Linked DNA regions of Drosophila melanogaster. The protein of the gene in region 2 interacts with the protein of the main gene of each other region in a pairwise test. Each region holds a gene or a part of one and is shown on either strand. Other genes may lie near its edges. The genes, in order: Df31, CG18094, RecQ4 and sick.

Evidence for each region.
Region 1: the proteins of CG18094 (region 2) and Df31 interact in a two-hybrid assay, tested with the Drosophila melanogaster proteins (one large-scale study listed by BioGRID).
Region 3: the proteins of CG18094 (region 2) and RecQ4 interact in a two-hybrid assay, tested with the Drosophila melanogaster proteins (one large-scale study listed by BioGRID).
Region 4: the proteins of CG18094 (region 2) and sick interact in a two-hybrid assay, tested with the Drosophila melanogaster proteins (one large-scale study listed by BioGRID).

The regions. Positions count from the first base shown.
Region 1 is NT_033779.5:21,624,941-21,632,683, reverse strand, and holds Df31 (decondensation factor 31), read left to right. Parts: upstream 1-2,751; 5' UTR 2,752-2,991; coding exon 2,992-3,017; intron 3,018-3,707; exon of another isoform or gene 3,708-4,033; intron 4,034-4,097; exon of another isoform or gene 4,098-4,222; intron 4,223-4,474; coding exon 4,475-4,842; intron 4,843-4,926; coding exon 4,927-5,084; 3' UTR 5,085-6,375; downstream 6,376-7,743.
Region 2 is NT_033779.5:19,487,632-19,493,170, reverse strand, and holds CG18094 (uncharacterized protein), read right to left. Parts: upstream 2,910-5,539; 5' UTR 2,686-2,909; coding exon 2,599-2,685; intron 2,538-2,598; coding exon 1,542-2,537; 3' UTR 1,496-1,541; downstream 1-1,495. Other genes in the region: Ctu2 (cytosolic thiouridylase subunit 2), read left to right, coding at 278-1,495; CG10194 (uncharacterized protein), read left to right, coding at 3,100-3,192, 3,252-3,466, 3,529-3,871, 3,959-4,363; CG13083 (uncharacterized protein), read right to left, coding at 4,640-4,736, 4,794-5,539.
Region 3 is NT_037436.4:8,169,008-8,178,580, reverse strand, and holds RecQ4 (RecQ4 helicase), read left to right. Parts: upstream 1-2,602; 5' UTR 2,603-2,724; coding exon 2,725-2,826; intron 2,827-2,879; coding exon 2,880-6,049; intron 6,050-6,112; coding exon 6,113-6,853; intron 6,854-6,915; coding exon 6,916-7,091; intron 7,092-7,150; coding exon 7,151-7,467; intron 7,468-7,528; coding exon 7,529-7,762; 3' UTR 7,763-7,941; downstream 7,942-9,573. Other genes in the region: Nmt (N-myristoyl transferase), read left to right, coding at 254-458, 942-2,155.
Region 4 is NT_033779.5:19,823,376-19,830,377, reverse strand, and holds the start of sick (sickie), read right to left. Parts: upstream 3,905-7,002; 5' UTR 3,105-3,904; coding exon 1,500-3,104; intron 1-1,499.

The DNA.
Region 1 (7,743 bases), 2.1 Mb from region 2:
TTTTTCGATGTGTTAAATTTTTTCTGCTAGCAAGTTTGCACGCAAGACACCGAGCAATATCCTTCGACTAAACTAAGCCGCCCCGATAAACTTGACTGATTGTCGATTTCAGCCTCACCAGCAAGGACCTCCGTTATTTCATGTTTAAACGCTCAGAGGTCGAACGAGAGCAAGCTTTTTCGGCTGAAAGCTCGTTTTTGCGCATGCGATCGAAGCAATGCACTGATAACGGTACAGCTGGGCTATCCTGATAAGAGTCCCTTTGCACAATAGCGTATTCAGAATATTACCGGAAGAGCATAAAGTTAATTAAATCTCATTAAGGTCTCCCGCCAATAGGCAACCACTGACCGATGAAGAAAACGTCATGAATGCAGCTGACCTTAAAATGAGTGCAGCTGCTATTTGACAGCGCCTGTGTGAGTGTGTCGGGGTGGACTGCACTATGGGAAACCTAACCACTTTTTCTGGCCAAAATTAATAACTTCAGAACGGAGAAATTTATTAGGAAAAAATTCGACAAAATTTAAAAATTGTTCAAAAGTGTGGACGTGGCCGGTTTCGCGGCTTTAAAAATGCTTATGTATGGCAATTTATATTTTTATCGAATTTTGGGTTGAACATTTTTTTTGCTTTTGCCACTCACTTACTCATAATGCAAGCCACACTGATTAAATGCCTTACAGAATGTAAATAACGCTTCAGAAAAAAATTGGTTAATTTTTCATAGTAGAGTTCTGTTGCATTTATTGATGTCCACTAAACATAGTATACAAACATGAGTAAGAGATATTTACGTTATACTTTTTATACATTAGTAAGTAATTTGGGGACCAAAGAATTTTATTCAGAATAAAAAAAAGGCATTTCCAAGTCTATTTTTCTAAATGTTATTTTTTAAATACCACAAATTATGAATTTAGTAAATAGATCCGTTGATTTTTTTCCTTAAAAAAATCTACTGATTTCAAATCAAAGCCCGCCTCAACGATGTAAAAAAACTAGTAACGATGACACCTTTACTGCTCTGAAATCATCTTTTGTGATGAAAATATAATTTTGTTCTGTTCAAGAATATAGGTATCTTCATTGATATGTACGTGCTTATCTACGTATATAATTCTTTGCTGCGAACTTAGACATTAGAGCATAACTGATTTGAATTCAATCTTTTTTGTGCGTTCAAGGGGATTTCAAAATGGTTGAGAATATTAACCTTAGACCAGTAGTGCCCAATTTCCTGCGTCGCGGAAAAATCTGTTTTCTTTAATTATTGGTCGATATATCGCCTTAGAATATCGTGTCGAAAGTTTCAAAAGCTAATTCTCGAAATTTTGGGAGATGCCCTTCGGATTTCGGAAGTCATACTTTCCTTGACGGCAATCTTTAAACCATGTTTGGTTCTATATGAAGTAAAGACTTTTCAATACAAACGAATGCCTCGTTCCTATAATTATATTTTAGAAACAAGAAACAACCCCAAAGCAAGGCTAAATGGAATAAACCCAAAATTTTACAGACGATGAAATCGAAAACCCGAAACAAATCACCCACCTGTAAAGCAAACATCCGTTGTCCAATTTTATTAAATCAGCATGTTTTCACGTTCCAAGCCGACACTCACAAGCTCGAAAGCAAAAGTTTGAATTTCAATAAATAAAATCTTAAAAATCTAATAGCGCTTGTATCCAAGAGCGAATGCACTTCACTCCAAAAGCCAAAGACACTAGATTATTCTAGTGTCTTTGCAAAAGCCCATTAAAATTTTACAGCCCAAAGTCCATATTAAAAAAGCTCGAGACCGAGGATTGATCGTCAATCAATATAGATCAATAAGTGGAGTTTAGCATGAGACCTAAAATTAAATGTTGACTTATGAAAATTGAAAACTTGTAATTATATGTATGTATAATAGCGTCTATGTTCTTCGGCAATGGAATCTCAGTCCTAGTGTATTGTTTTCCTTGCCAATAGCCTAAAATATTGTAAAATTTTAGTGAAGCAGAAAATTTACCAGCTGCCTGGTAGCGCACTCTAATTCTTTTTTCTATTATACCGATCAAGGGACGCAGACAAGGCCACTATACATATGTATGTATGTACGTACTTATGCGTGCATATCTGACTACCTGAAAATGTTTTCAGAGGGGTGAGGATTATTTCCGTCGGTTTTATGTGTTTGATTACATACATATGACATATCTTTAAGATATTATTTTTAAGATCTTGTAGACTGTGTAATTTACAAGGAAATTGATTGATGTAATTTAATAAAAAGCTTGAATTTTTTAAAAATGACGATATGTGTATATATATATATATGAACATACATGTTTGTGTGTTTGTTTATTTAATTTTTAGGAGTACCGGATCAAAAAAAAAACTTAGAATTGGGAAGGTGTATTACACGAAAAATCACTCAGGTCAATGAGAAAAACAAGGATAGGAATGCATTTGAATATTTTACCTGCTATATTTGTGTAGCCGCTAAATAATAGTTAAAAGGTGGCAGCCCTTTTTAGGGGACCGTTATTTTGAAATATTTGTCACTGCTATATTTCATCTCTTTAATATATTAAAATAAAATTGTAAAAATCTATCAGCATAAGCTAACTCCGAATTAAATAGAGAACGGGTGATAACGATAACAAACAAAGATATGTTTTCCGGAGGCGGAACTATCGCAAGCGGACTACCGACGTCTACCAACACTACAGGGCGGCGCTTTAAAAGCCGGTCCGACGCTCACCGCTCTCTCATTCGGCGTTTTTCTTTGTGACTGTGTGGACGTTCTTAATTGTACGGCAAAATCTCCAGCAACCAAGCTACTTTCTTAGCAAAGCTACTAAAGAGGAAACTATATTGATAAAATTTCGTTCTTTTAAAATCTTTGTGCTGATATTTAAGGCGTGCTTGGTGATCCAAAAACCCTCAGTTACAACGTGTTTTCTCGCTTCGCGTTTGAAAAGTAATATCTAACAGTAATTCAAAATGGCTGATGTGGCTGAGCAAAAGAAGTGAGTACTTTGCTTGCCTTGTTTTCGGACGTTTGTGGATTTTGTTTAAGCAATGGACTTGTAGCGAATTTTGCTAATGAAAATCTATGTTATTTGCCGAAAAGATTTGGAAATTTTCTTTTGAATTCTGTGTCTATATACGCAAACCGCTTGTTGGCACTAATGTAGTTGTCTCGTTCCCGCCAAAGGCAAAACGGTGTGCGCGCAAAAACCGACGCCGTTTAATTTGGCGCGGCGTCATGGTGCCTTCTCGCTCTTTCTCCGGCCGGCAAACAGCAACGATGAATTATTTGTGTGTGTGTGTGTAGCGGCGGAGTAATGCGTTGAGTGTATGCGGACGACAGGCCAAATGCGCAAAAGTCTATAGACATGTGTGTGTGTATGCGTGTGCAGCATTCAAGTTGCCGCTCTTTTCTTGTGCTGTTTCATTTCATCTGTCTGTGCTACCTCGTATGTTGCTTTGCTGCGTTTCTCACCAGACATCAAATTTCGAGGCTTGCCTTTTATACCCATTTGATAGCTTAAAGCTCGAAGCTTGAAATTAACAGTATAAATTTTCACGCATATCTATATTGGCATTACCAAAAATACTCCCTCTTTCCCTATCGATGAACACTTATGTATATATTTTTTTTAAGTAGTTATTATATGTTGCAGCTTATAATACATAACAAAACAAAACTCATGCCTAAGGCTGTTCCGGTTTTCTTTGAAAGACGCAGGTTGTATGACGTTATGCTACTGTTTGTATCGTTTGGACCGTTATTTTTGTCGTTTAGCGTTGCTACTTTGCAACTCTCTTTTTGTTCGCCCTATAGAATTCTATCTACCTCAGATGGCGAGTATCTGTTGGTAGATGAGTGCGAGAGAAACGACTATATTGTCATTAATCCCATTAAAACTGGTTTTTATTTCTATCTTTGTTCGTTTTAGTTTAAACGGGTCTCGCTTTTCATTTTGCACGTCTGCAAGCGTGTTTTTGGTTCTACCCTGTTCTCATCTGTTGGTAGAGAGCACTGAAATAACAAATGAATATATGCCATTTATATGAAAAAGAGCGTGCCGCCTAATCGCACTCACCTTTTCGCGCTTCCTTTTGCGTCGCAGCTTGCACGAGTTGTTGATCCCATTTTTGAAAAACGCCGGCAGATGTAACAATGCACTTTTTTTTTAGTTTTAATTCCGAACGTCCTGGGGCTCTTATGAATAGAAAGTGGAGGATGAAAACATAAACGTTACCTACCGGCGCTATATTGAAATTTTTCTTTTTTTTTTTTAAATTCAATTAATATTTAATTAATTAATAATTAATAGTTTTAGTTTTTGATAATTTTTAATTGATTTACTGTTTAGAGTTTTGTATGTAGTAGAATGCTATGCATACGAAGTTCAGTTCGGCCACCTTCGGAAAAAATTATAAGTGCATACTGACTTTCGTCTCTGATTATCACCCACAGTGAGACCCCTGTTGTCGAGAAGGTCGCAGCTGAGGAAGTTGATGCTGTGAAGAAAGATGCAGTTGCCGCCGAGGAGGTAGCAGCTGAGAAGGCGAGCATCACAGAAAACGGTGGCGCCGAAGAGGAGAGCGTAGCCAAGGAGAACGGAGCCGCCGACAGCAGCGCGACCGAGCCCACCGACGCAGTCGATGGTGAAAAGGCGTCTGAGCCCACTGTTTCTTTTGCCGCCGATAAGGATGAGAAGAAGGACGAGGATAAAAAAGAGGATTCCGCTGCCGATGGGGAGGACACCAAAAAAGAGAGCAGCGAAGCTGTTCTACCTGCTGTCGAGAATGGCTCCGAGGAGGTCACCAACGGTGACTCAACAGGTATGATGATATCAATGATATCAATGCCAAACAAATTTTCCACGTTCATGTTCTTATTGTTCAATTTTTATTATCGCCTTACAGATGCTCCCGCCATTGAGGCTGTAAAGCGGAAGGTGGATGAGGCTGCAGCCAAGGCAGATGAGGCCGTCGCCACGCCGGAGAAAAAGGCTAAGCTTGATGAGGCCAGCACAAAGGATGAGGTTCAGAATGGGGCCGAGGCTAGCGAAGTGGCCGCCTAAGGGAATCGCCCGCGGAGCAGCAAACTCAGTAATCTACTTATTAAATACTTACTAACACAAAAAAAGCAAATCACAGAAATTACGGTTCTACCGCCAGGAACCCGGACTGTATCCATTTTCCGCTCTTGTGAGCGGGTGATACGTGGGTGGCTGCTTGGGTGGCGGGCGCAATTCTCCAATAACAATCCGGCAATGGGAGCGTAGTTTTATAGCGTACCGGTTCTCTCTCTCTCTACTAACAAACAACCTACCAACCAACAATACCGGCAACAAACGAAAACAAAAAATCCATTATTATTTAAAAACTTACTTAAAATCTTAACTTTAAAGCAAAGTATATATATATATAAAGCGAAGGATTAAGAGAACAATATTAAGCGAAATTAAGATGCGAGACCCTCTATGTTTTAAGAATAAAAGTTGTAAACAAAAGCGTCAAATTTAATAATTGTAAAAAAAAATACGAAGCGAATGAAACAAATTGCAAACAAAATCTTTAAGTAAGAAAAACATCAAAACAATTACGGCAAAATAACATATGTAATCCTTTACAATTTTTAATTTTACAACCGTATCTTATTTTTGAGTATGAATATTTATATCGAACAAAGTAAAACTAAAAATTCAGTAAAATGTAACAAAAAGCTGCCAGCAACAACCCCAGAAAAATGTATGCCAACCGGCTAAAAAAATACTACCACATAGAAACAATAAAAAGTACGAAAAACAACTTTTACAGCAATACTCTGAAATGTTTATTTTTAAAATGCTTTCGAAATCGTACCTTTTTTATTTGTAATCAAGGTACCACCTATTTCACATTCCCAATTACATTTTATTTACTTGTCTAAGCCTACGAAATAGTCTGCGACGAAACTCTCATTAATGTTCAATGTTTAACAACGATTTAATGGGCAGGAAAGGTAATGGCCAGTAAATCCAGCATTCAGCAAAATCAAGATTCGAGATTATTAAAAAATAAAATGAAACGTAAAAATTAAAATCAAACTGTAAGCGTAACTTTTATTAATTTGAGCATGTTTGTATTCGCACAAATAACAGCTGTCGCCAATAGTAGAAATTATTATTTTCTTGGTAGGGTGCGGTCCAAGTACATATTAGTGGAAAGTAAACTATTTTAGGTAATATGATTTCGACACAGAACGTTACAAATAGTATTACTATTTTGCCTACGGTAAGTTGTTTTTTTTTTTGTATTTTTGGACTTTCGTTTAATTTTAATCAGAAAATTTAATATTTGATAATCTCTTGACTCATGACATTATATCCCATATATTTACGTCAATTAAGAAGCCTGTAAAACAAACACGGCAAATCTACAGTTCACACTTTAGCTAAAATTACATGAAGAATAAACTCCGCAAAATTTTATTTCATTTCATTTATTTCACGCTTAATGACATCCAATTTTTTTTTATTTTAACCTTAACAATAATAAGAGTACAGGCCAATAATTAAACCTTATCTACTTAGATATTAATATCAATATGAATAATATGATAATGAAAATATTATACCGATTGGGAAAAAAATTTTATGTAATTGAAAAAAAATCTAAGCACTTAAAAAAGGCTATTATCTAAAAATTACAATTAAGGTGGATAGGTCAAATCATTTATATGCTGGTGCACAGCCTCTTGACATTTAATAGAGAAATTTTGGGACAATCTTATTAATCTATTATAAACCACTTCAATATTGGCTCGGTTATGTAAATGAGCTGTTGAGTGATGCCAAGGGTGATTAAAGATTAGTTTTAATATTTTGTTTTGTCTGATTTGTAGCAGGTTAATGTGACATTTGGCCATTTCTGACCATACTGGAGCACCGTAAAAAGATAGTGCTTGGAAGATTGACCTGAACAGAACATTTTGTTTTCAATGTTTTATCTGGAATTTATGTTTATAAATGGATAAAGCGAGCAGATAATGGCTTTAAGTTGTTCGATTGTGTCACTTATGTGATCTTTGAATTTTAGCCTATTGTCTAACGTGATAGATACCCAAGTATTTGACAGTTGTTTCCCAGTTGTTTCTGCAAAATTAATTTCGATAAATCTCTGGGAAGTGTTCCATCTTCCAATCCTTCTGGATACCAATTTATACTAGTCTTTACCCTATTTTACCCTTTATCCGTAGACAAGATTATTTGAAAAGATTTTATCAGGTAACGTTTTTTTTTTTATTTTTTGTCAGAATCAATAGTCTAGCCAAAAAAAATAAATGCCAAAAATCTTTATCAAAGGTGTGGGCGCGCGATTTTTTGTCGGCTTGTAGGAGTGGAAATCTTTTTAAACATGATTGATTTTATTCATAAGTTTGCAACGCAGGTAAGAAAATATTTACGTACTCATATTATTAAGCATGTATTTTATAAGATATTTTGTCGGCCGTATGAACGTCGAGATTTCAGGAACTATAAAAGCTGCGTTGAGATTAAGCATACAGATTCTAGAGACACAGACGCAGCGCAAGTTTGGTTTGTCTTGCCAATTTCTAGACTATAGCATTCTCTGTTGTTTTTATGTTCAATTTATTTTCCTTCGCAGAGCATATTGTCATGCCCACAGTTTCGACATTTTTTTGGGGTCTTTTTATTTCACTGCTTGTTTTGTTAATTTCTATCAGTAATGCTGCGT
Region 2 (5,539 bases):
AAAGGTAATATATGAGTTTAAAATATAAGTTAAAGGTTTACGCTTTTTTAAATTATATTGGATATATTATATTCGATATTATATTATAAGAAAGCGCTAGCTTGCCGTCTAATTTTGACACTAAATATAGATAATCTATATAGATAGATTATAGATAGAAGACATTTGTCTAGAATTCCGCTATTTTGTATCCATTCATTTCACAACGTATTCATCCCTGGTCATTTCGTTTATCTGCGAAATTCTTTTTGTTGTGGATTAGACGTAAATTATTGCCATGTGCAGCATTGGTGAAGATGATTTTGGAGACGAGGGTGCCGCCCACGCCATGGTAGTGGAATCCCTACCATTAGGAATCGTCCTCAGTCCAGGGAATTGCAGCAAATGCGATGTAAACTCCGGCGAGCTCTACAAACTCAACTTCCGAACTGCGGAGTGCCGGGAATGCTTTCTAGCGTATGCGAGGCACAAGTTTCGGGCAGCTCTGGGAGCCGCCAAGATTCTGCCCAGAAACGCCGAGGTGCTTCTTGTCCTGGACGGGTCCGCAGAGTCGCTCGTTCTGCTCGACATGTTGCACTTCGCGCAAACACAGAACACGTTTAAAAGACTCCATTGCAACGCACGTGTGGTCTACGTGGAGGAGCAGCAAGTGCAAGGTCGCGATCCTGTGGACTTGGAAGCTCTGCAGAGATTATCAACACAATACGCACCCTTCGATTTCTATGTGATTGAACTGGGCGCCTTGCCCAGCTCCTTGCAGCGGATCAAGGATTATAGTCCTTTCCTCAACGCAAACAATGAGCTTATCCACAAGCTTCAAAAACTGCGAAGTCTGACAGCTCGCCAGGATTACCTCCAGCAACAGCGCAAGAACCTCATCTGCTCCGTGGCTCAGTGTCTGCAATGTACTCACGTCTTTGAATCTAATATAAGTGTTGACTTAGCCACCCAGCTGCTGACTGCAATAGCGCTAGGTCGTGGCGGTAGTGCCGCCTTGGATGTGGCTCTCCTCGACGATCGGCTGTCTGGAGATGTTAAGCTGCTGCGACCTCTCAAGGACCTAACTGAGCAGGAGATTCAATTTTACATACATGCACAGCGTCTAAAGCCACATTTTCAAAAAGGCTCACGTTATGGGATGGAGCATGGTGAGACTGCCAGCTTACAGAACCTTACATCAGCCTTTGTGGCCAATCTGCAGCAAAACTTCGCCTCCACAGTATCCACAGTGTTCCGAACTGGCGACAAAATAGCTGTCAATTCCAATCCAGAGCAGTCCTCTTGTGTTCACTGTCGATCTACACTGGACTCCGAACTATCCGACACTCTGCTGGCTATTGAGTACTCCAGATCTGTTTCAGAGGCCGGCGTGAGCCTGTACAAAAGCGGACAAGATCTCGAGGGCTTGGCCAAGAAGCGATTGGAGAACAAGGACGGTTTGTGCCACGCATGCCGCGCCATACAGACCGAGTTGGATAGTGGTAACTTGTTGTAGCGCAAGAGGAAATATATATATTTTCTATTAAAACTATATTCTTTTACTACAACTTGGCTAGCTTGTTATTGACAAGAGGCTGCAGTGGCAGATGCCCATCGCAGGGCGGTATATTGGAGGCCAGTACGACCTTGTGGAAGTCGTAGACGATATAGCGATTGTATTGCTTGGACTTTCGATGAAGGTCGTCCACCGATCCCGACAAGATAATTGTTTGTGTACAAGCGCCTGGTTCTTTGGGATAGAGCTCATCACCAGGAAGAACTCCAAACATGCAGTCATCGCAGCGATAGTAGACGGGCTGCACCATTGTGCTTCCATTGCAGCTCCTTTGGCGGGAGAAGTTGAGAAGCTCCTGAAAGCTATAGAAGTTCATCAGACGAGCGATGTCATAGAGCAGCATGAACGGGAGCCAAATAATGGCTTTCTGTGAGCTCGACCAAGCCTCGATCGGACTCAACCAGTGGGCCGAAGCCACCTCGTGCGGTTCCAGAAGCAGCTTTATATTCCTGGTGTACTTATCTAACATGGTGATATAATAAACAGTGTCATATTTCCGATTGGCAGTGGCTGCTGTCCTCCAAATGGACCATTCCTGAAGAGACCAGATATTGGGAATGACTTTATAATGCCGAAAGAGTTCCAGAAACTGTGAGGCATCATTGTGAACCCGATGTTGCCATTCGAAGTGTTCGCTTGACTCGAGAAGCACGGTTCTAGGATGACCCGATTTAGAATCCCATTTTTGTATGTCGTCCTGTTCTGTGCAAATCAAGATGCCCACCTCTTCAAAGGTTTCCCTGAGCGCAGTCAGTCGCAGTGCAATGTCCCTTGAAATATGGTCTCCACCGGATAGAAACTCAGGCCTTGGAGAATCCTGATTGTGCCTACACATTTTTAATTGTTCATCGGTCACCCCAAAGGATTTGAAAAAAGTTATCCATTTCGCAGATTGATCTTCTATAGGATCGAAGACGCCGCCAGGAAAGACGCAATGGTTCAATGCATAGGAAGTTTTTTCAGTTCGTTTAATCAACAATAACTTTAATAAAAGACAATCAGTCAGCAAACGTTTAGAGCTTATAATCTTATACTTAACATACTCTGTAGTCGTAGTCCTCTAAAGAATCCTCTTTGGCGGCTACAATAAGGCTAGCCGAAGGTCTATAAGTTCCAGTTTTAGTAGTCATTATAGTCAATAATCCATTTAATTTCCAAATCCACTTTTTCAAACCTTTGATCTTTGGTCTCAAAGCAATAAGAGCTTGTTGTTAATGCTTTAACGCATTAGTCAAAAGACTCGACCCTCGGATACCTCTGACATTAGGTGAGGGAATGAATTAAAATCCTATATTTCATTGACTTCAGTGATAGAATGTGAAATTTAAATAAGTACTCACATTAATAAATAAACCTAGAAATATTTTATTGGCTTAATAAAATAATTTACTTAAATTAATTTCAGAAGTTCTTTTAATTATAAACTACCCCACCCCACCATCTGACTACAACAGGTGGTGGGTATTTCAAAAGTGTAAACAAAATCAGCTGGTGAGCAATCGATATTACCACCCACTCTATCGATATCGCTGTGTTACCTAAATATGTCGAGGCTTTTGCCCAAAATTCGCTCCTCCTCAAGTTTAATCCTTCTGGCTAAGAACCAAGTTGAAAAGTCCACGTCGTGTGATTACAATGTGAGTTGCAGCTTAACGTTAACTTAGCTTCACCATTCTGACGTAATCTATTCGTCTAGGCCCTCCTCCTTACACGCACGCAGAAGTCCACTTTCATGCCGGAGTCATCCGTGTTTCCTGGCGGAGTTTGCGATGCCTCGGACAGTTCGCCTGCCTGGTTGGAACACTTTCAGAGAAACGAGTTCAGTGCCGCTAAGCTGCGGAACGTGGGCCACGTGAAGGGTCCACGTCCGGATATTTTCCACACCAAGGCAGATAAGAAATCGCTGGATCCGTATGCAACTCAAATAGGTTTTTAGGAAATTGGTGATGTAACATTATTTTCGCACCTAACAGATCCCTAGCTCTGCGGCTGACTGCCATACGAGAAACCTTCGAGGAGTTGGGTATCCTGCTGTGCAGGGACAGCAAATCATTGACCTCCACTAGCGATTATGGAGCGTTCTATGACCAGTTTGACCGCGCCCACTGGCAGCACATCGTCCACAACAATGCCAGCCAGTTCCTGGAGCTCTGCAAGCAGCTGGATGTGCTTCCAGATGTCTGGTCACTTCACGAGTGGTCTGTCTGGCGCACGCCGTCCACGTTTAAGAAGCGCTTCGAGACGGCCTTCTTTATGACTGCCCTGGAACAGGAACCCAGGGTTCACATCGAACCTAATGAGGTCAAGGATTCTGCGGTAGGTGGGTGGGATATTATACGGCACAAGAGCGATACGCGAAACCTTTAAGTTGCATTTAATGTACTATCATTTATATTATTGTAGTGGCGTTCCCCATTGGACTACCTTCAAGCGAGCCTAAGAAAAGAACTCTGGCTGCCGCCTCCACAATTCTATGAACTTTCGCGCTGCCTAAACTTCTCCTCTTTAGATAACCTGCGTCAGTTTGCAGCAGAGCGTGAGGTCAAAGGCATTCAGCTGATTCATCCTGTAGTGCACAAGTGTACAAATGGATTAGTGCATCTCTTGCCAGGAGATGATGCTTACCCCGCCGATCCGGATGCAAGTAACGAAAAAATTGAGATCGATTTGTCAGTCGAGGAATTCCGTTCGAAGACGAATGCTAAATTACATCGATCGGAGCACTGGAACCAGCATCAGTCGCAGCTGATAATTAAGTTTGAGCGGGATGATGGTCAGGTTCATCCATTGGATCCAACAAAATTATAGAGGTAGAGCCGGTTTCCTCTATGTCAGGTGCATTTATCTAGTTTTATAAGTTTTCCAACAATTGATATATAAAGTTGGACATAACACTTTTTAGCAATATACAACTTATAAAGTTCGATTTCCTCCATTTACTCTTGTTTATTACATTGTGTTACAGAACGGTTTAATATACAATTATATAAGATAGATAGAATCGACATGCTGGGATTTGATATAGGAAATCAAGCAATTTCTGAATATGGCATAAAACATCTATCTTCAGTTTTCGTATTAATGCTACTGGCCCTTTCCATACCAAAGTTTGTATAGGTATTCAGCCTCTTCTTGGGATGCATAGACGTTCTCGTATCCTTGATTGCCCTCTGGTTTTGGCCTTAAAATGAAAAGAGTGGTTTTAGTGTGCACCCAGAAGTAGGGCATACAAACTTACTTGTAAATTGGTGCGTGTTCCGGGTGAGTCCAGATCTCGTGGGGCTTCTGGTGTGACGGATTTTTGTGCTTGCAGCCATCCAGCGTCCTTTCAATGTTCTTCTGATTGTTCAGTAGGGCAGCCAGTTTATGATCGACCTGTGAGGTGGCCACCTGCACTCCATGGACAGTGTGCTCGATGCTGTTGAGGCTCTCGGACTGAGTGCGGTTGAGAATGACCAGACCCCACTCCAATTGATTGACTTTGCGATTGGCACGATCTGCCAGAGCCTTAAGTTCGCCCAGATATCCCACTTGACCCACGATGTTGCGCTGCTGCTCCTGGAGGACCTTCGCTTTATTGTCCAAGCCGATGAGTTCCCCTATGACGGCCTGTGATAGCAGCTGCTGAATCTCCGACAGATGCGAGTTGACGGATGAGGCCACTTCATTTAGGTTCTGCTCGTATTTGTTCTGATTGGCAGCCACTTGTTCCAGGGCTTTCCTGATTTCTAGCTCCACTTTGGTAAGATTCCTAATAGAGTTTTCATTCTGACCCTGGATTGCGTTAACAATGGCTGTCAAATTTCCCACTCCAGAGGCCGTGGCTTGGAAGCTGCTTTGAACGTTCGATTCCAGCTTGGCTATGGCAACCTCCAATCCAGCAATGAGTTCGATCTCGTCGCGCTGATGCTTGAACTTCTCTTCAATGCCCTTCTGCACGTCCTTCACTTTCTGCAGCCCATGGTTTAGCTCCTCCGTACCTTT
Region 3 (9,573 bases), on a different chromosome or scaffold from region 2:
TTGAATTGAATTTTATTGAACTCAATAAATAAATATAGTTTTAGAAAACGATGTACTTTAAACTGCCAAGAGGTCACCGCGACAAGCTTTTCACTTCGCCACCCTCTGGTAACACTGATTCTCCAGCCACTTTCGATTCTTTAAAAAACATCGATAGGTATCGCCAAAAAAATCAGCTGCTCTGCTTGTAGTTTTGCGATTTCATTGCAATTTTAATTTGCTTTACTGTTCAAAAAGAAATACAGTGCAAAATATGCCGAACGAAAACGCAGAGGACCTCTCGGGTCAAGAGCTAAAGCAGAAGGCCAAGGAGGTGGCCGACGCATCGGAGGCAATGCTCGAAAAGGTTGTTGCCGGCTTAAATATCCAGGACACGGCATCGACGAATGCAGCAGGAAACGAGGATGCGGAGCAGCCTGATGGTGCCAAGAATGAGGCTTCAGTGTCTGCGAATGCAAGTAAGTTTTCAATATGCCTGTGAAAAGTCATTTAGAGGCTCCTCCTGCGGCTGAAAAAATGAGGTTAGGTTTTGTCGGGAACTACAGTCCAACCTCTCTAACTTGAACTGCTGTGCTATTCATTTCAATTCAATTTTCAATTTTCATTTTCTGTGCAATTACTCCAAAGATTAGCCCTAACGGAAAAATAAACAACTCATAAATCATAAATACATATTTGATTTTGATGAAATATGAATATACTTACATAGATACAATTGAGTTTTTTATTACGAATAAAATATGTGTAATATAAGATTTCTACCTTGTTGATTCCATTGATTGATGCTTCATTGAAACCCCAAAATTGGGCAAATTTGTTGTCATGGGAAACTAGTCCACTGTCGTGATGCCTTAAGCTTTTTTTGGGGCAGATTAGTCATTCCAGTTTAAACTAATCGAAAAATGTTATAATACTATTCAACGCATCATCGTTTCTTTCAGGCAAACAGGCCTTGCTACAAGCCGTTTCCGATGCTATGGCCAGCACCCGTCAGATGGCCAAGAAGTTTGCATTTTGGTCCACACAGCCAGTCACCAAGCTGGACGAGCAGGTGACCACCAACGAATGCATTGAACCGAACAAGGAAATTAGTGAGATTAGAGCATTGCCATACACTCTGCCAGGCGGCTTCAAATGGGTGACACTAGACCTGAACGACGCCAATGATCTCAAGGAGCTGTACACGCTGCTCAATGAGAACTATGTGGAGGACGATGATGCCATGTTCCGTTTCGATTACCAACCCGAGTTTCTAAAGTGGTCGCTGCAGCCACCTGGCTGGAAACGCGATTGGCATGTTGGCGTTCGTGTGGAGAAGTCCGGCAAACTGGTTGGCTTCATCTCAGCCATTCCCAGCAAGCTGAAGTCGTACGACAAGGTGCTAAAGGTTGTGGACATCAACTTCCTATGCGTCCACAAGAAGTTGCGCAGCAAACGGGTGGCTCCAGTCCTGATTCGGGAGATAACGCGTCGCGTCAATCTGACGGGGATTTTCCAGGCGGCCTATACAGCTGGAGTTGTGTTGCCCACGCCAGTGGCCACCTGTCGCTATTGGCATCGATCGCTCAATCCCAAGAAGCTGGTAGACGTGCGTTTCTCTCATCTCGCACGTAACATGACCATGCAGCGGACAATGAAGCTGTACAAGCTACCCGATCAGCCCAAGACGAAGGGCTATCGCCGAATCACAGCGAAGGACATGGACAAGGCCCACAAGCTGCTGGAGGACTACCTAAAGCGCTTTCAGCTGAGCCCGGTGTTCAGCAAGGAAGAGTTTCGTCATTGGTTTACCCCCAAAGAAGGTATTATCGATTGCTTCGTGGTTGCCGACGAAAAGGGCAACATCACTGATCTGACTAGCTACTACTGCCTGCCATCGTCCGTGATGCACCATCCGGTGCATAAGACGGTTCGTGCCGCATATTCGTTCTATAATGTGTCTACAAAGACCCCGTGGCTGGACCTGATGAACGATGCACTGATCTCGGCCCGCAATGTCCAGATGGACGTGTACAATGCCCTCGACCTCATGGAGAACAAGAAGTACTTTGCACCGCTAAAATTCGGCGCCGGGGATGGAAACCTGCAGTACTACCTCTACAATTGGCGCTGTCCATCGATGCAGCCGGAGGAGATTGCTCTGATACTCATGTAGTCACCTTGTCACCTAAGCTCACATTCTCGCCCTGCCTTTCACAGCTCCCCTCCTCCGCTTTCTTCACCCTGCTGGAAGTGCCGTGCGGCTGCTTTGCTTTGCTCCTATTTACGTAGCTATTACCTGTAATCTTCAGTTATTCCAGCGAGGAAAGCCCTTTGCGAGCATACACCTAAATAGCATCATTGTGAAAATTGCATTTTGCAACGGCCAAGCTTCGATATTTTTTACTACAAGAACGAACACAAATTGTATAAAATGCGCAGCAATATCAATAAAAATGTAACGTTTACTTGGACCTTTATTGCCTATAATTGACAATAAATTATTTTGCTGCTCTTTTAAAGATGACAAGTTTTTATTTTTTTTAAGCAGATTATTGTATTTTTGCCCACTGTCCCAGCATGTGATAGTCTGGCCACTCTGTCACATGGCCATTGGTCTGGCAAGGTCGGTGAAAAAGCGCGCGCTAAGCAAAACAGCTGCACTTGTGTTGGTTTATTAGTTAACGAAATCTGATTCCAATGTTGGTTTCCTCATAATATTGACAATTAAAGACAGCCGCCGACATGGACGATTCGGTGTTCAAGCTAAAATACCAAAAGTACAAGTTGCGCGTCAAGGTGTGGGAGAAGGACTTCAAGAAGAAGAATGGCCGTGTTCCATCGAAGGTGAGATTGGGATGCGGATATGACAAGTATGCTAACTGGTTGACCTGTTGCAGTATGATATAAGGGACGCCAGTCAGGAGATTCGGGACTCATACAAAATGTACTACAAACTGAAGACATCCTTCCTGGAAGAGACGCTGAACGATGTTCTCAGCGAAGATGGATACGATATTCTGGAGATGTCGCAGGCCAGTGATTTCGGTGTGAGCATGCTGGACCAGGACGTCAGTCTTAATGAAGGTCCTCAGCTACCGTTGGATATATCTGCACTGGTGGGGCCGCAGAGCTCTGGTAATCTTGAGGAAATTCCACAATCGGTGGAGGGCTCATTCTCAAATCTCATCGACCTGCCCAATCGTCAAGTACTCACCAATCTGGTCAATCGCGATGAAAACCATGTCATTCGCAAATTCGAGGCGGTGGAGGAGCTGCCAATCAACCAAAATGCCTGGGGCTTGAATGTGAGTAAGAAGCCACCAGCTCCACCACAGCCTGTAGAGGCCTCCAAATCCGCTCCGGGGCACGGAAAGCAACCCAAAGCGGGCGCTAGTCTTAAGCCCAGCTTGAGTGCCAAGTTATTCCAATCCTCACGCGGTTTTGCTAAACGAAATCCCCGAAAGCCGCTTTCACGTTGTGTCAGTTCCTCTAGTTCCACCACATCACTTAGCTCAGTTCCTACTGATCATCACGAGGAACTGCTCGACTTTGAGACCATACTCATACGCAAAGCCCAGGAGTACAAGGAGAAGCAGCAGGCCATAGCTAACAATCCAATGCTGGCCAGTGAGCACAGCAAGGAAAGTATCAAAACACTGGTGGACGACGGCTGGCTCCGGCGAAATACAAAGGAAAACACTCTTGATGAAGAAGTGCCCTTTGCGGAAGCAAATAATAACAGTGGTACGTCCAAGAAAACAAACTTTGGCCTGGCCAATCTTGATTTAAGTAAACTAAAGCCCACTGTTAAGGAGGAAAAAGTGTTGCAGGCCAAGCCCGATCAAATGGCAATCATACAGGAGCTGCAAACAGATATGAATTCTAGCATGAACCAGAAACCAGATCATCTTAATCACACACCTCCTGCATCCAGTCAAAAATCAGTCGCTCCTAAAAATAAACCTCCACCTTCCGAGCAGGAAACCGATTCGGATTCCGACTCTGTTGTGGCTGAGAGTGAAGAAGAGCAGGAACCACAAGAATATCGGCAACTATCAAAACGTCGCAAAATTGTTTCAACAGCATCAGGAAAAGTGGAAGTAGCCGCCCCAGTTGAAATTCCCAACAAAGTCGAACCAGAGACAGAAACATTTGCTCAAGAGAATCCAGATTTCTCTGCAGATGAAGACCAGGATGCTACATATGTACCAGAGAATAAAAAGAAAGATAAGGCAAAGCGCAAGCAAGCCGCCGGAAAACAAAAGACCACTAAGCCCAAAGCGGAACCAAAACCGAAAACAGAAAAGAAAGCCAAAGTCAAGGCCGAAAAGAAACCCAAGGCGGAGAAAAAGCCGAGGAACTCTAAAAAAGCCATCGCTGTCGAGCCGGCTCCTGATCCAGAAGAGGATGAGCGCCAACCATTGAATCCAGAAGATTTGAAATACGTGTTGGCCTTGGAGGCGGGAGATATTACCTCCGTTCCGCGCATTAATGTGCAGGATCTAGAAGAAGCGGATGCTACCGCCCAGCGCTATATTAGAACCTTCGCCGCTGGACCCAACCCAGGATTGTCGGAAGGGTCCAACATTCGAGTGGATGAAAAGAGAGCCGCAGCACGAAAGAAGCTGGAGGAACGCATAGCAGCTGGTAAATTAAACGAGAACTTTGTGACCATAAATATTCAAAAGAAAAAATTCGTGCGTGGCAAAAAGTCCGTGAACTTCAGCAAGTACAAGAAGCAACAGTGGCGGCATAAGAAACGAGTGGCTGCCTTGAGTGGGCCGGACATGGATATGGGTGGCTGTGATGGCGGAGTGCTCACGTGCTTCCAGTGCGGCGGAGTCGGGCATTTCGCTCAGCAGTGCAAGGTGAAGGGAGACAGCTTGTTGCCACTTTCGGCACAGCTGGAAGAGGATCCCTCGCCGTTTCCCACGCTTGCCGAGGCTCAGGAGATGGCCAGTCAGGGAGCAGTGGTGGCACACAGTCGCAACATCTCACGGCTGCCCCAAGCGGCCAATGCAGCCATCCTGCAAGGCGATGAGTTGAACGAGTCAGAGGAAGATGACCAAGAAAGCAGCGGAGATGAGGAGGTACAGCAGCATCCAGATCCAAATTGGTCTAGCGATGAAATGGACGTTGATTTCGAGGCCCTAGATGCGGCCGTCGAAGCTTCCCTAAGCCAACCGGTTTCGCAAGAGAAAGCAGCTTCACCTATTAAGACATACGTCGGCCACAAGATTCCCGAGGAGTTCCTCAAGCAGGCTGGACTGGACACCACAGCCTCTAGTTCGAATCGCAGCCAGCACGGTGGGGTGAAGCCCCTATACGATCTCCTTCCGGATGGCAGTGTCCAGGACACGACGCCAGAGGTCCTAGAGGCACTCCACATGTTCGGGCACACCAACTTCAGGAAAGGTCAAGATCGCGCCATCATGCGCACTCTCTCTGGACTATCATCGCTAGTTACACTTAGCACGGGCAGCGGCAAATCTTTGTGCTACCAATTGCCCGCCTATTTGTATAGCCGGAAAGTGGGAGCTATTACCCTAGTCATCTCACCATTGGTGTCACTTATGGAGGATCAGGTGACCGGGGTGCCGCACTTTCTGCGAGCTCACTGCCTGCACACTAATCAGACCGCGCCGCAGCGTATGAAGATTCAGCAGATGATTGCCAATGGGGAGATTGACATTCTTCTTGTCTCTCCGGAGGCGGTTGTCGCCGGGGAACGAGCCACAGGATTTGGAGCCATTCTTCGCCAGCTGCCGCCCATTGCATTCGCTTGTATTGATGAGGCGCATTGCGTGTCTCAGTGGAGTCACAACTTTCGACCCAGCTACCTAATGATCTGCAAGGTGCTGAGAAAGAATCTCGGTGTACGCACAGTGCTGGGGCTAACAGCCACGGCAACTTTGCCAACGCGTGTTAGCATTATAAATCACCTTGGCATATCGGATGGAGAACGTGGTATTATAAGCGACATCCCACTGCCTGACAATCTAGTGCTGTCCGTCTCCAAGGATGAGAACCGGGATGCAGCTCTGCTCCAACTGCTCAATAGCGAACGGTAAGACTTGGCCCACCATCTTTGAAACTTGAAGGAGACTTAAATACATTTTGATCATTCTAGCTTCGAGCCCTGCCAGTCCATTATTATCTATTGTACGCGTCGTGACGAGTGTGAGCGTATCGCTGGGTTTATTAGAACGTGCGTGCAAGACCGTAGGGAGCCAACTCAGGATCAGACGAAAAAACGTAAACGTGTGAATTGGCAGGCTGAGCCCTATCACGCTGGAATGCCCGCTTCCAGGCGACGAACCGTTCAGAAGGCCTTCATGAGCAATGAGCTGCGCATTGTGGTGGCCACCATTGCCTTTGGTATGGGCATCAATAAGCCGGACATACGCGCGGTAATCCATTATAATATGCCAAGAAACTTTGAGAGCTATGTGCAGGAAATTGGTCGAGCAGGACGCGACGGGTTGCCTTCCCACTGTCACCTCTTCTTGGATGCGAAGGGTGGCGACCAGAGTGAGCTGCGTCGCCATGTGTATTCTAACTCCATTGATCGGCATGTTATCCGTAAGCTGCTGCAAAAGATCTTTGTGCCATGTAGCTGTGACAAGGAGGCTTCCAAGAGGACAGCTCTTCCGATTCCCCTTGAAGGTGATGGTCCTAGAGTGCATATGTGTCCGGGACACGAGATTGGCTTTTCCGTGGAGAAAACCGTTGAGATGCTGGACATCCCGGCGGAGAACATATCTACTTTGCTCTGCTACATGGAGCTTGATCCCCGATGGTGCATCAGTGTGCTCAGCTCAGCATATGTGATGGCTAAGGTAATCTCGTATGGTGGGCCAAAGTACTTGAAGTAAGTCCTTTAGACACGTGTATTGTGTATGTGTTTAATGTTATTGGTTTTTCCTTGCACAGGCATGCTGCAAAGGAATGTCCACCATTGGCCATGGCTATTGCTTTGCAGATTAGAGATAAGACATTCAAGGAGGACTCTAACATCATAGAATTCTCGGTCACAGATATCGCGGCAGGAATTGGCTGGAACAGTGGTGTGGTCAAATACCAACTGAAGGATCTGGAGTGGGTAAAAGGTGAGATGGTAATCCGTTCAAAAAAGGATCCGTTTAATTAGAAATTAATTTTTCGATAGTAAATGGATATCCCAAGCGATCGCCCATCACGGTGAGCTTCTATGATTTGGGATTCCGCATCAAGGTGCCGGGCGATTTTACCGAATCAGAGATCGACAACGCTCTGGACACTCTCTATACGCGATCCGTGAAACAGGAGCGTACGCAGCTCATCCAGCTGCAATATGTGGCCCATGGATTGGCTGCTGTGGCCTACAGCTCTTGTGGCCAGTGCTGCAATGCGGATTTTCCGCAGGATCGGGGCGAGCAGCTAAAGGCTATCGTGCGCAACTACTTTGCCAATGACTACCCACAGGATCTGGAGCTGGAAATAGAGGTAATTGCTTGGCAACACATTTCAATTTCTTACTTTTATTGCTTTCCTCTCTGTCCATTAGCCAAGTAACGTGCCGGATGAGAACATCATAGACGACGTTCATGCTCTAATAAACATGTACCCGGACAATACATTTACCGGACGTAATATTGCGCGCATCTTTCATGGCATCATGAGCCCGAACTATCCGGCTGTCATCTGGGGACGCTGTAAGTTCTGGCGTGCCCACGTCAAAGTGGATTTCAATCGCATCCTGCACCTGGCCAATATGGCTATTATCAAGAGGCGTACGTGACCGTAATGTCGGGATGAACCGCCGATACCATGGTTAACCAATTAATAGCTCCAAGAATTTTAAAAATATGTGATGCCATTCAATAACATTTTACTCGCACAAGTCTGATAATACAAAAATAAATTACAAATTCTATATAAACAGCTTTTGTACTTATTATGAGTGGAAAGAGAAATTCGTACGGACAATCTAAATTTTTAGCTTGGTTTTTAAACTCTCTAAATCTATGTGTTTCATTAGCTAATAAATTTGCACCATACAATCCCACGCCAATGGAACAATAACAATTTATGATAATTTCATTGCCGAAAACAACAGAGCACTAAAATAAAGTAAACAAATGCCAAGCTCGTTTAGAGGCAAATTGCAGCTACGGCTTCAAATGAAACAGCAGAAATCAATTCGATGGAGCCCGTAAAGAAACAAACATCCGGCTGAGTCATTCCCAATAACATCACGAAATGTATAACCCCGGTCGAAGGTGTCATCTTCAAATCGAAGCCTAGCCAAAGGTCGTCCTTCCTCAGTTCACACGAACGCGAAGCAAACAACCCAACAAATGGGGGGATCTAACAACAACTCAGGGCACAGACAACTGGAAACAGAGAAACATCATTGAAGTTGTCGGATCAGCGAAGCGTTTGATAAAGGTTTTTTATGACTTGGCCATTTTGTGAGGCCTTTGGCTTCTCGTGCCGATGTTGTTTATAATCATAAACGAGACTCGAGTACACAAAAGTCGACCCAATTACAACTTGTTTGTTCTGAGAGTGAGACGTCAACGTCATCATCCTCGCTCCATGATCATCCACATTGTGCAGATGGCCAGCGAAGCCATCGAGCAGCAAGCTGACCTTGCCTCCAATTTTACTCCAATTTCGAGGCATAAAAGCGAAAATCAATTGAAATGGTAGCAGGCAAATACCACAATGCAAGCAACGAGATAGGAAATAATAAAAAATAAAGGAAAAACTAAAAGCAACGAGCAACTTGACTGGCCAGCTAGCTGATGCAACGGACAACATGGCGTATGCTGAATATTAAACAATTGCTGACATTCCAAAGAAAATACCTTGAGATGGGCTTGCTTTACAAGGAATATATAGACTTCGATTTTGTATTATGATTGCTAATGTTGAGAATTCTTCAACGACAACAGTTTATGTTGAAAGCATAGAAGATCTTTACATTGCTATCATATATCGAAACACTATTTCCCCTCGCTCACTAGCCAACTTTAGCACTTTGCTGACAATTTACGTACCTGCTTTAGGCCACATTCTGTTGGCCAACCGACCAACCGTTCGATTGAGTTCAACTACGGCTATGGCTAAAGGCTACCAGAGCTGACCCTGTTCGCACCTCGTTATGCATCCACTGGCATTTGGCCGTGCTCCTTCATAAGTACTCTAGTATCTGGGCAATGTGATCTCCTCTCGTTTTACTCATGCCATTTTCTGCATGAAATTTCCCCCAAAGCGCTGTCTATCGGCATCATCATCATCCACTGTGAACTTTGCAATCCGATCAGGCTGGGTTCAGATGGTTTTGGCCTTCTAGACAGTTTCTTTTATGTTTTTGAATGGATCTTCCATCGGTTTCAATCATCTCCAAAAGCATTTGCCAACGTTGTGGTAATTGGTTTTCCTATTTCAGCTTCTTTTCGCTTCGTTGCGAGCTGAATTTTGAGTATTTCTTGTCACTTTGCTGGTGAATAATTTTGATCAACATCAAATGGCAATTCAATCACTATTTCTTGGCATTCTCCTGGCTAATTTTTTTGGATTGACTAATGGTAGTTGTAAATTATA
Region 4 (7,002 bases), 340 kb from region 2:
ATCCATCCAGCCAGCCAGGAACTAACCAACCACCACGGCCCACAAGGATATGAAAAGCAATGCACTTGACACTTTGCCGGCCACTTCAGCTGGGCCAAAAAGTGTGCTTCACTTGATGTCCTGTCGGCGTTTCATTAGATGCTTCTGATGGCAAAAAACTGCCCCAAGAGATTCTTTGGCTGCTGTAATTCCTTGTTTTTTTTTTTTTGGGGGGGAGCATGCCTCAAAGCAAAAATGTACAGCGCGTATTTCAATTTGCAAATGATGGGAAATGCCTGTGGCACGGAAAATTGGGAAGGGCGAATAGCTTATGTGGGCCAGTAGGGGTGTAAGTACACACACTTTCAACTCGGCACCATGGCAACAATTTTAATTCAATTCCATTAAAAGTCGCTAAGATTGAACATACATTCGCAGCTGGTGTGTGTTTTTGTTGTTTCCTTCTGGGTTTTGCTTTTCTCTTCTCTTGCAACCTGTCCCTCACTTGGGCACACAATCAAACTAATGTTTGGCGGTAGGGAAAACTAATGAAGCGAGCAGTGAAAACGCGACGATTGATTGCTCCCCCGAGGCAACGAGGAAAACAAGAGCGAAGAGCGAAGGGCGGGGGAAAATGGGAAAGCCAGATGCAATCCAGCAGGAACTGCTCTCAAAAGCCCTCGATTTTGGGAATCATCTGCAGTGCACTGCCTCCAAACTGCAATTCCGTGACTCGTTCTTCTCTTTTTTTGATAATTTATACTCGAGGACTCGGCCGTTGGGGGTGACATTTGTTCATCGCCTTTGCGGGTGGGTTTTTCCGAAAATGGTCCTTCGAGGGGTAAGCCAACACCTCCCCTGGGGTGTTTGAAGATGCATAATAAGACTTGTTAAGTTGCTCGCTCGTTAAGATAAGTGAGCCGGCAAATGGCGACAAGTGCGACTACGGAAACAGCCCGCAATGATTACCGGCTTAAGATATGCGAAATTATCCATATAGATAAGATGCTGCGTGGGGTTCCTTCCAATGGTTAATGCGGCGATTCACATTACGGTAAGAGGATTATGTAGGAAATGTATGAAACCTAGCCACATGCACTGCAATATTGAGAGGGTCATAAGAGCTTCACCAAAATAAGCCATTTGCTGGTGAGCCCCACCGAGCTGAACATTATTGTGGCACTTTTCGGGCTGCATCTTAGCATTAAAACCCAGATTTGCATAGGTAATAATAAAGTTCCCTTTTGTCAGGACAAGCCATCAAAGCTAACAAAGATAAATGATTTGTATTTTTTGGGAAAAGGTTTTCTTTCTTCTTGAAAGTCTTCGAAAAATGTCTGGATAAAAATTGAATTTTACTTTGTAAGCTGAAGCACAAAAGTTCTGTTTAAAATAAGAAGTGGTTTAGGTTTTCGGTTTTTTTCTCCATTAACCTAACAGATGCTTCTATTAAGCTTCTTCTTTTTGTATGTCATGGTGATATTTTATATATTTATATCATTAAATATTCACAGACTTACCTCCATATATCCCTGAACACTGTCGCACTGCTGAAGCACCAAAATGGCCGGATTCGCACGCATTTCTTCGGGGGAGCAGGGCGATAGGAAACCACTATCCGCATCGCTGTGGGTTGATAGAGGTCGTGGTTTGCGTATCTTGTACTGGACATGTCGACTAGGCACTGGGCCCGGGTTGAAGAGCACATAGTTGGACTCCGTTGGAACCGTGTGCGAACGCTGATCCTTTCGCTGTTGCTGCAACAACTGTTGCAGGTGCAACATGTGATCCGTGCTGACCAGCTCGGAAATGGCACGTTGCTGCTCAGAAGTATTTTTGTCGATAGACTTTTTGCCACTGCGAAAGGGCGAAAGATTCAGAAATGTCAGCTTTTTCTTCATCGATTGCTGGGCGGGATTGGCCAGGGAACAGCTGCCCGCGGAACTTGCTGAGTTCGTTGAGGTGGATGATTCTACGAGGGCCGTGGATGTGGTCTCCGTATCTTTGGACTCCTGGCTGTTCGACATGCTGGCAGTGTTCTCCAGTTCGTTGAAGAGCTTCTCCAGGTTCTGTTGCTCCAACTTGGCATTCACCAGCTGCTCGTTGGTATAGGGATTAGGTATGCCGATGTCCATGGGAAAGTTCGCTGGGTCTATAATAAAGTAGTTGTGGTGATCAAAACTAGACATGGTCTCTGAATTTTTGGCAGTCGGTTCTGCTTCTGATTCCGCTTCTGGCATAGCTGAAGTCTCTATGATAATAGTCTCCTCCAACTCGAGCTCCTCGTTATCGTATATTACTTCTGGCACCAGTTCATCTTCATCCTCGCAGACCAAGTGCTGTCTTGAGCTGAAAAGGGGATCCCTCAATCCGTGGGCTTGAGTACTGGGATATCTCATGGCTTTCTCGTTGATAAAGTCCACGGGATCAAAGAGACAGTAGTTCTCCATGTGCGAGGTGGCAGCCTTGCGCTGTCTCACTGGTAGATTCCTTAGCTTTTCGGAGTAATCCGCCACATCTTCATTATTATTGGCTGATTCTGGAGCTGGAGGAGGCGGGGATATCTCCTGACTGATGGGCCTTTCCTCCTGCTGCTGCAGCGACTTCTGTGAGCCCCTATGAAGGGTGGCAAACAGGCCACGAGCTATGCAGTTCTTCAGCTCACTCACACGTCCTTTGTAGGGACTCGACTGGGCACTGCTGCTCAGGATCGAGGATTCGTCGATTCCCAGCTGCTTGCTGAGCTCCTTGCGCTCCTTCTTGCTGAGCACCACCTTGCCACGACTGGGCGTATTGGGGGCCGAGTGGAGCAGCCTCGATGGCATTTGGGAGAGGGGCGGTGGTGTGGGAGGCAGCGGATCCCTGTACGGTGGTGGACCCACCAAACAGGTGGCATAGCTAACTGGTAAGTCCGGATAGGCCGTACTCTGCGCCGATGCCGTGGGATCCGTGGCAAGGAACTCCAGTTCCATGTAGTTGGGATGTGGCAACATCTTCGGTTGATTCTGATGATGATTGTCCGTTCTTTGGCTCTTGGGCTTGGCGCCCAGTTGGTTCTCCTCATTCGCATTGCGATCGGGCTTGGTTGAGGAACCCGGACGCAGTTTTCCTGCCTGACTGGACATTTCTAGGGTTTCACTGCAGCTTCCATGGGCTCAGCACTTTTCACTCACACACTCACTCACAAATTTTGTATACATTTTTTCGCCGCTTGGGCCAAATTAATGGCTTTATAAATCTTCATCTTTATGGAGGGCAAAAACGCGTTAATGGGTTTTCTAGTCTTTCGACCAAAAAAAATAAGGTCCTTTTTCCATGTCCTCTCTCTCTCTCTCTCTACTATCTCTGTTTACATTTGTGTTTGTAATTGGATTTTTTAGCTGATGCATGTCAAAGTTAAATTAAAACTGACCCAGCTGGTCGGGGGAAAAAAAAGAGTTATACGTTTCTAGGTTGTTTTTGCGGGCAAAGAGTCATAGTCATGGTCATGGTTACGCCGTGGTTTCGTCTGCTTTTGAAGTGTTCCAGAATGCCGCCGAAACAATGCCAAAGTCGAGCTTTTTATAATTTGTCTACAAAGCAATTAACAGGAAGCCAACGCTGCAGGGATTGCGATAAATGGTGAACAATAATACAATTAAAGTACTGCACATGCGGTTTTAACTTGAATTTGTGCATTGAAGCCGCAGAGGTGGATACATATATATTTGCAACTTAAATGCTTTAAATTGAAAAAACCGAAAAGCATTCACATACATTTTTCTTCAGCTTCCGGCAAACAGCACAGGTATTATTTTGTTCGTGCAATTTTCGAATAAAAGCGATTGTGCGATAGAAGCTGGAAGGGAAATTCAATACGAAAATGCATATCAAGTGCTCGCTAGAGTTTCACATTTGATTAAGTTTCATTTCTCCTTCAGTTTCCCCCCGGTCGCAAAAATGCAGACATAACGGAGATATCAATAACAAATTGACAGCAAATGGATCCATGAATTTATTAAGTGGAAAGCGAAGTGAACAAAGGAATGGTTCATCACTCACGTACAGGTATCTTTTCCATTACACTTGCTGAGATTCGTAGAGTAAATGTGAGTAATCCAAATAGATATAACAAATAATGAACAATGCCAAAGAACAGCATGTTCGCCAAATCGAGATTATCCCAGCATTGTTTCCACTCGGAAAACCAGCAATGAACTTTTAATTTCCTTTATTTCAGCCCACTCACAAAACAAAACTATGACGAACATTTTTCGCCAGGCCAACGTGGCAACAACTGAGAGGAAACCGAAATGGAAAAAGTTTTATTGGCAACAAATTGAAAACCGCCTGGCCATTTGAGTCAGTGAACCAACAAGTTGCATAATTGTTGGCGCATGATAGAATTAAACGCCTCGCAATGAGCCGATGTTCCAATGGCTCCTCTTCTTCTTCCTCTTCATCCTGCTACTTCCGTTTCCGGAAATGGCAGGCTGCAGGTGGCAGAGGCGAAAGAAGTTACTCCAGTTAAGTGGAGTTTCTCTGCCGGTGTCTGTGCCTGCGTCCCATAAAGTATACTGAAAGTAATTTGCAATTAAAATGTTAATTTTTAATTGAATTGCAGATGGCAGTAGGCAATGGCAGTAGTCTCGAATACTGAATCAAGTTAATTAGTGTCAAAGTAGGCAGCTGAAAAGGGGAGGGCTGTTGGGCAGCACTCAAGCCCAAGGTTGATTTATCCAGATTAGCAAAGTATGCTAATGAAATGGTGATAAATGCAAATAATATAAAATTCCAGTTTGACTTACTTCCCAGATTAAATGCAATTGGTAATCCATCTTCTAGGAACAACACAGTTTTTCTTTACATCACCATTACGATTGTAGTTAAAGAAGCAGAAATGTTAAAATCTATTCTACAAATGTGCTCTAATCAGTTGAATCTATACTTTTATAACTGGGCAGTACACGTATTAAATGTTTAACTCCTATAAGGCCACACAATCCTTGTCTGCGTCCATTCCCCTGGGCTTAAAATCCCCCTGAAAGCCACGTGGATAGTGGCTCTCTACTCCAGCATCACCTAATCCCTGACACTTTCAGTTTCCATGACGATTCCGTGAAATGGGGACGAAATGGGGGCAAAAAGGAAAAAAATGAAAGGACCCCGAAGAGAAAGGCAGAAGGCAGGACTTAAAGTTAAACACTTTTGCTTTGAGGTTGAAGTTGCTCGCACTTCATCTGCCTTTGCTTCCAGCTGGCAGCAGTCAAAGTTGACAAAATACTTGTCAAGATTTGCGCATTGAGTTGAGTCCTCCTCTTCCAACTTGTAATTGCAGTTTTGCCGTGGTCTCTTTCAGCTCTGCAGCTCTGAAAAAAAGAACAGATTTCCACCCACTGGGAAAACCCGACGTTTTGCCGGAGGCCATCAAGCCGCAAACTTTACGAGTTGATAGCTGAAATAAAGTGGAGCATGCATTCCGTGCCTTTTAGCCCGCCCACCCACTTCATGACATCATTTTATTTGCACTCAATCTGAGTTCTTTTAGCGCCGCTTTCTGCGCCCAACACGCTGTGCAAACTTCGCTGGCAAGTTGGTTAGAAATGCTTTTGATTTGCTAGTGAGTTGACCAGAATCCCAGCCCCTCGACTCGCTTTCCACACAAAAGCCCACTTTTGAAAAGTGCACGCTTTTCTTTCCATCCTTCAGTTGCTCTTATTGCACCAAAAAGCCCAACCAGAACCCAAAACGTTATTCAAACAAAGAAGAGAAGTATAAGTATGCTGAGGTTTGCCAGAAAAAACTCATAAGTACGCCTTTTGTGTGACTTCTAGATACTCTATCCACTAGATTTCATTTGAAAATTGCATCAAAACAAATATATTTGGCGAAAATTCTAACAAACATTGAGAGAATTTTAAAGGGTAGGTATAAATTCATATAATTCAGTAAATTCTTGGCCAAACTCCATATGGAAATTTTAAATTACAGGGCATAAATAAAGTGCAAAGGCCGTACCGAAAAAAGTAAAAAGGGAATAAAAAGAGCCAACTACAATGCGTATGACAGTTTGAAACACTTCTAAGGACTTTTGAGTTGCGCCGCAAGTTGGGGCGTGGTAGGCGTGGCAAAGGACCACAAAAACAACGCACAACTTCCGCTCCAGCTTGAGGGCACAAAAAAATATGTATAAAACTAAATCAGAATCTATGTGCAATTCAATTAAAGCGCAATTTGCAGGCAGTCATCATATTTTCGTTACTTAACGAGCCAGTTGGTGGATAATGAAGAGCGCGAAGGGTGTGGGGCAATTTAATAAGACCCATCGGGTGGGGCAAAACGGAAATCGCTTGAGGAAATTGTGTGTTTCAAGCAAAAGCATACATAATAAACTCATATAAAAGATTGTTGCACACTTCGGGGAGCAACTGGAAGCGGAAAGCAGGAGCGGAGGTATAAATACCCGTATTTGCAATCCGAAGAAGTGGAAGTGGATGGAAAGAGTCGGAAGAGGGATTCTGGAGACAGGCGAATGTATCCCTAGGCGGACAACGGCGAACACGAGGAAAAGCGGAAAAGCAGCGGGGACCGCGTCGAATGTTATTAAAAAAAGGAAAGCAGAGCAACGCTAAAACAGCAAACCCCCCCTGCCGCCCTCCACCCACTCATTTTCCCTCCTCCCGGCGAAAAAAGTCATAAAATTTATTAAATGCCTAAAAGTATGACAGCAATAGACAATTTATGGTGGGGAAAACCAAAGGAAACGAAAAAAAAAAAACAAACTAACCGAGGAAATGAAAACAAGATTTTTCTTTGGCTTCGTACACCCTTAGAAATTCAGTAGACATTAGCGGAATTTTAATGACCTTGCGTTAATTCAAGCAAAAATTATAAATATTTATCAAGGGCATATTTATAAGCATCAGCTGCTATCGAAATAGGATGGAAAAATATTAATATTTATAGTAGGACTACCAGCGAGCATTGGCATGACTTTTAATTTCAAAGTGTTGAGTACTGGAATTTAACTAAAAGGAATTACTG